Callithrix jacchus: one gene and its partner. The main gene of each other region encodes a partner of the protein of the gene in region 2 in a complex. Links are inferred from orthologs where the notes say so. Each region holds a gene or a part of one and is shown on either strand. Other genes may lie near its edges.

Region 1 (4,267 bases), on a different chromosome or scaffold from region 2:
TAAATCAATTGTTTACAGTTAGACATTTAAGAAAAATCACTTAAATATCTTTTTATTTTAACAGATATTTATTTTGTTAGGTGGCTTTATGAAAGTGATATAAAATCTCTAAATTTTGAAAAGTGAGATAAAATATCTAAATAATATGGTTAATAGAGTTATGGCAAATATATTGATGTTGTTTATAACTGACTGTAGTTTTAGAAATCTACATAAATCTTTTTTGAAAGCATTATCTGCAATATATAATCTGCATTATGTATCACTACATCCGTAAATATATATTTTGGCCAAACACCAAAAAGAGCCTTTTGCAACTGTGGAAATTATCCTAACAAATGTGCTGCCAAGTCATGTCATTATACATTTGTCCAAACTCATAGAATATACAACATCAAGAGTAAACCCTAACATAAACTACAAACTTTGAATGATAATGATGTGCCAGTGTAGGTTAATGGTTGTAACAAATGTACCTCTCCGGAGGAGAATGTCATTCAGAGTAGGAGGCTGTTGGAGGGGGAAGGAAGTACAATTACTGACAGTAGGAAGCTGTTGGAGGGGGGAAACCTCTGTACCTTCTACTCAATTTTGCTGTGAACCTAAAACTTCTCTAAAAGTTGTCTATTAAAAAAAATTATCTTAACCTTGGCTTAATTTTTAAGTTTTTGAGGGTAGGTTATTATAATAGCTAACGTTTAATGAGCACTTATCTTTAATCCTAGTGAAACAGATGTTACTATCCTTGTTTTATAGTTGAGGACATTGAGGCTAAGAAAATGTAATTAAGGCACACACAGAATTTAAACATGCTTCTTATCTCAAGACTGAGTTGTTTTCCAGTTACTCTATGTATTTTCATTTTTTTCCTAATATCTGACTTCGAAATATCTTACGTTATTTTTAATTCCAAACCTTAGAGTCAATTATTAGGGCACCTTAGAGTTCATTATTTGGACATAACTATCCAGAAACCAGAAACGAGGGGGCGTGGACCCCACAGACTACAAGCCCTAAAATGAAATGAAGCGCCAGAAAGCCTAAAGGGCGGCAGCTCGCCCCTTGGCATGCTGGGGATGTAGTTTTCTCGCTCTCCCTTCTTCCCCGCCCTCGAGCACCCAGATTGGAGCTTCGTTCCTACTCCCTTGCAGGGCGCCACGGCTCGAAAGAGCCACTAGTCCTCGCCTGGTCATCCCAGTTCCGGAGGCTGACCTGGGGATGCGCCCTTGACGCCCTGAACCGCAGGACCTGCGTCGCTGCCAGGCAGGCCGGCGCTACGAACCTCACTCGCAGCTCCAGGACGCCGCACTCTACGCGCTGCTGCAGGAGTACGCGCAGCCTGGTCACCGTGGAAACGGAGCCGCTCCGTCACGGCGCATGCGAGAGGTCAAAAGTCATCCTAGTGAGTTCCGCTTCCGGTTCCGGGATCTTGTTTGTTGTCAGAAAAGATTCGTGGTTTCGGTGAGCTCTCAGAGTAGATTTCTAGCGTCCGTGCGTGGGGCCAGGTGTCCCGAGGTCCGCTGCTGCAGACATGGCGGCCTCTACTGCGGCCGGGAAACAGCGGATTCCCAAAGTGGCCAAGGTAGGGGATCGCGACGGGCCTTGTGGCAGGTGGCCTAGGAGAGGGGCTTGCCTTAGCCCTGGGGATGCCCCGGGCGGAAGAGAGTGTTCCTACCGGGGAGAAGGCTCACCCTGAGAGATGGAGACGAAGGATCCGCTGGTGGTGGGGCGTGGGCTCTTGTCATAGCGGAGCGCGACCTGCGTTGGCGTGGCCTTCGTTCTGGGGTGTTTGTGCAGTTGGGAGGAGTGGGGTGGATCAGTGAAGACTTATTGCGCCAAGCACTGCACTGGGCGCTGGGGAGCTACGCTCGGACGCGAAGCACAACAATACCCAAAACACGAGCTTGTGTATAAAGACGACCTTGCTAGATGTTGCTGATGCAAAGTAGAATATGCCATGGGCGTGAATAAGTGGGGCGTATGAGGGGGTCCTGAAAGTAAGTTTTGCAGAGGAAATGACCTTTAAGCTGAGACTTGAAGGCGGAATAGGAGTTAGCCCAGCTGACAGCGGAAGGCGAGAGTAGACGGAGTTGTATGGTATCATAAGTTCATTAAAGGGTAGGTTCACTATCTGGTGTTTCCCTCGATAGCTGATACTTACCAAGTGCTTAACATGGGGCAGGCTTTCTCTCAAGCCTTCACAGATACCCTCCCTCAAGTCTTTCTTGAGCCCAGATGACTCTGTTGAACTGGACCTTTACATAACCATTTATCTGACTCGCAGAGGTAATGCATATAGAGCAAGTAACACTGTGTCTGGCACTTAGTGCTTATTAAATATGAGCTATCACCATTATCATCATTACTTCACACGTGGCATTAAGTCTTTTATAATTCAATTACATAAACTTTTATTGGGCATCACTGCTCCAATGGAAATATAATGCACGCCACATATCTCATATCTACATTAAAAAGTAAAAAACAAAAAAGGTGATATTAGTTTTAATCATAGATATTTTATTTGGCCTAATGTATCCAAAATATTATTTCAATATTAATCAGTATAAAAAAATGTAATGAGGTAGTTTATTCTTTTTTTCATACTCCATCTTCAAAACCAGAGTGTATTTTACATCTACAGTCCACCCCATTTTGTACTAACCACATGTGACTCACAGCTACTGTGCTGGGCAGCACAGCTCTAAGCTACATTAGACTGTAAGCTTCTAAGACCTCAGGAAGCTTACAGTCTAATGATGGGAAGTTATTGAATTTTGCCTTGGACTTGAAGTGCCATGAAAAACCAAACTCAATTACCCACCAGGGGCATTAGCTAAGTTGAAGAATTCTGTAAATGCAGGTTGTAATGCTGTTAATAAGATGTGGTACACATCTTGATAAAACAAAACCTCTGGTCAGAATTTTACCTAGACTGCCTCAAAGTTTATTATTATACTCATCTAAAAGAGAAAGCTCGCTATTGTTTTTGCGACCTTTTTCAGTTGAGACTTTTGCCTATGGCTTTGTAGTAGACACCATGAATAACAAGGAAAACATAGTATTTTTTTCTTTTCTGTCTCATGGAGGAATGGGAACATGTCATACAAAGAGGGTATCTTGTGATAATACTAATGAAGTTCACATCCTAAAACAATGTATCCTAAAGGATGTAACATAAAACTGGTTTCTTAAACCCGTGTGAAGAGCATCTGCTAAAAATAGAAATGTTTTCTTTCTTAAAAGGTGAAAAACAAAGCCCCAGCTGAGGTACAGATAACTGCTGAACAGCTCTTAAGAGAGGCTAAAGAAAGAGAACTTGAGCTTCTTCCACCTCCACCTCAACAAAAGATCACAGATGAAGAAGAATTAAATGATTATAAACTAAGGAAAAGGAAGGTCAGTCGGTGTGATATCTTTCAGTCCACTAATTGTTAAGAAAGTATTGGTAGGCTGGGCATGGTGTTGCACGCCTGTAGTCCCAGCTACTTGGGAGGCTTAGGCAGGAGAATCATTTGAACCCGGGAGGTGGTGGTTGCAGTGAGCTGAGAACACGCCACTGCACTCCAGCCTGGTAACAGACCAAGACTCCGTCTCCAAAAAAAAGAATTTCTGTAGGGCAAGATGAGGCTAGTGTTTATAGCACATGAATAATGTACTTCTGGTTACCAGATAACAGCATTTTTCTGAACTATACAAAATATGCTATGAATTGTCTGGTTAAAGTACAAAGAAATTGAATCTGCATAATTTTTGGTGCTGAATCAAACATGGGTGGAAGTTTAGCAGGTGGAACAACTGGAACCAGCAGAGGGTATGCTTAGTAAAACTGCACTGTTGTGTACTTCTGCCTATACCACCTTCTGTGTTAAGAATTGAGATCTGGCTAGGCATGGTGGCTCACACCTGTAATCCCAGGACTTTGTGAGGCCAAAGTCCTGGCCTCAGCGGACAACCTGAGGTCAGGAGTTGGAGACCAGCCTAGTCAACATGGTAGAACCCCATCTCTACCAAAATTACAAAAAAATTTAGCCAGTTATGATGGCAGATGCCTGTAATCCCAGCTACTCAGGAGGCTGAGATATGAGAATCACTGAAACCTGCGAGGCAGAGGCTGCAGTGAGATTAAATCACACCACTGCACTCCAGCCTGCGCGACAGAGAGAGACTTCATCACAAAAAAACAAGGAATTGAGATCTGAGAAAGGACCATGAGAAAAGACTTGGGATCTGATTTGACCTCCTCACTCTAGAATGTGGGACTGTT
Region 2 (2,591 bases):
CATGGCTATTTCCCTAAAGTCTTTGCTCAAATATCACCATCTCAATAACTTGTGCATCATATTTAAGATTACAACCCTACCAGCTACCCCACCCACACCATATACATAATTCTCCCCTCCCAGCACCACCTTCTAACATTTGCTTGCTATGCCTACAGTGTTTGACCTTTCTCCACCACCAGCATTAATGTATACCCAAGAACATGGGAAAATGCCTGTCACATAGAGCTCAACAAATATTTGTTGAATGTAGAATGGATGAACTCGCTTGCCATCTTGTCATTTCTGGAGACATGGTTTCAAATTCCCAGGAAAAAGAAAGGATGTAATTTAAAGAGGCTAGGGAAAACAATGACAGCAAAGATTTTTAAAACAGAAGAAAAAGATGGGATACATTAACCGCAAACTTCAAAACTGAAGTCATTGTGAGACTGAAAATAAAGCTCTTGGAGGAAGTGGCAGTCGGGGAACACTATAAAGGTATACAGGCATATCTAAGTGCCTGGCCACAGACACTGGCATTCGCACCCTCACCCAAACCCATTTCCCACTCGGACTCTCGCGAACCTCGGTGCCTGGAGCTCTTTCCGGAGCCCTCCACCCTAACACAGGAAGTTCACACCAAGAGACTGAACGATTTCTAAACTTTATGGAAAAAGCCAATGACAATCAATTAGGCAAAAACGAGACGCCAAATCCCATCTCACTCCAGCGCCACGCCCTCTTCTCAGAGACTTGCCGGCTGCAGGACCTCTCCGCCAGCACAGTTCTCAGGGGTCCTGCTGGTCTCTCAATGCTGTCCCAAAGTGTCCACATGAAGGCGGGTCAGGAGGGACTTCCCCGGCAAGCACTTCTATACGCAGAAAGCGCGGGACGCAGGAGCCATGGAGAGAGCCGGTCCCTTGAAGGCAGGAATACTCGAGGGATTTGGCAAACGGGAGGAACGCTGGGAGAGGCGCCGCGCACGGCGTTGGTAAGGCAGTCTCAGTTCTCCTCGGGCTTGTCGGCTGGCGGTCCACAAGGCTGCAGCATCTTCTCCATCAAGTTGAAGCGGACTCGCGCTTTGCTCTCATTCTCCGCAATGGCGAAGTAGTTGAGAAGGTCGAAGTGGCCCATGTAGGAGCAGTACGAGTCGCGGTGTTGGTTCACCAGCCACTCCCACTTGGTGGTGTCGGCGTGGCCCGTGCCGATGTACTTGGACTGCAAGTGCTCCAGCTGGCTGTGGATGGTGTAGCGGTCCGTCATCTCGCCGCTTTCCCCTTCGCTCCGAGGTCAGAGGCCGCAGGAAACAAGTCACCGCTCTACCGTTTCAAGCGGGAGTGAGGACACCGCACAGCACCTCCGGGCCCACGCGGTCGCAGAAGAATGGCGTCACTGAGACTAAGTAGTGTAACTCTCGCTCATAGGGCTCAGAGGCGGAAGCGGAAGCGGAAGCACATCAGTCACGGAATTGGAGTTGCCGAGGTATGCGACGCTACAAGTGTGCCGCCCCTGTAGTGAGCCGTGCCCCTTCATAGAGCGTTGCATGATGGTCCGCTTAGTGGCTATGAGAGGCCCTTTTCAACCGGGAGCGTTGCATGCTGGGACTTGTGGTCTTGGTCTTTGGAGTTCGTGCACGCCAGCCTCCGGAACTTCTGGTCGCCTTTTAAAAGCGGTATGGGTGCCTAGTGGAGGGTGTTGTCTGCGAGGCGGGAAGCATCCGTGGTTGGCTTGGGGCTGATGGGAAATGGGAAACCCAAATAGGAGTGGACTACGAGCAACCCCGAAAATAAACTCTTATGTATTTCGGACCTATCGTGGCGGCACGGCAGTCCCTTCACTACCCGGGATGGATTACCCAGAAGTCAGTAGGCGCGAGTTCTGGTCCCAACTATGTCGCTTAGGAGTTTGTAGCATCAAAGAGTTATTTCAGCTCTAACCAGGGTGTTTGGTGAGCAAGTACAGTACCCATTTCCTCACATTCCGGCTCCACCTCAAGTTCCTCCTTCCTCTCTAGCCAGTTATTTTGATATCCTCCCTCCAATGCCTCACGGCACCCTACTTGGCCCTTCCATTCAGTGGGTTTTGTGAATTCAACCAACCCGACTGAAAATATTTGGGAAAAAAATTAGTGTGTACCGAAGTGTAGACTTTTAAAGGTTATTATACCCTAAACAATATAACAACCATTTACATAGTATTTACATTGTATTGGGTATTGTTAAATAATCTAGAGAAAAACTATACGGGAGGATGTGTGTATATGCAAATACAAGCCATTTTATATCAGGGACTTGAGTATCTTCTAGTTTTGGTATCCATGGAGTCCTGGAACCAATCACTCACAGATACTGAGGGACAACTGTACTTCTCCATGTTACCTGTTGTGCCCATTCCCCAGTTCCTTGTGCAAGCTGTTCCCTCTACTTGGAATGTCTGTTCCCTTGGTGAACGCATCTGCCTTAAAGGCAGCTCAAATGCATCTCCCTAGAATTTTCTCTGGCTGCTCCAGACAGATGTAAATTCTTCTTCCTCTTTGCAGATTATCCATCTCTTCCTTATTATTGCTTTATATCCTAATTTTTAGTTTAATAACTTCCTCATATGGATAG

What was found. The genes of interacting proteins can lie anywhere in the genome.
Region 1: SF3B5 (region 2) and CRNKL1 share a complex: the UniProt entries of both Homo sapiens proteins name them as parts of the minor spliceosome. The link is inferred for Callithrix jacchus from reciprocal best matches to the Homo sapiens genes SF3B5 and CRNKL1.

What each region holds. Positions count from the first base shown.
Region 1 is NC_133506.1:27,036,680-27,040,946, reverse strand, and holds the start of CRNKL1 (crooked neck-like protein 1), read left to right. Parts: upstream 1-1,381; 5' UTR 1,382-1,531; coding exon 1,532-1,582; intron 1,583-3,246; coding exon 3,247-3,399; intron 3,400-4,267. UniProt on the Homo sapiens protein: Involved in pre-mRNA splicing process. As a component of the minor spliceosome, involved in the splicing of U12-type introns in pre-mRNAs.
Region 2 is NC_133505.1:150,851,805-150,854,395, forward strand, and holds SF3B5 (splicing factor 3B subunit 5), read right to left. Parts: upstream 1,366-2,591; 5' UTR 1,246-1,365; coding exon 985-1,245; 3' UTR 630-984; downstream 1-629. Other genes in the region: uncharacterized protein LOC118153004, read left to right, coding at 1,366-1,464. UniProt on the Homo sapiens protein: Component of the 17S U2 SnRNP complex of the spliceosome, a large ribonucleoprotein complex that removes introns from transcribed pre-mRNAs.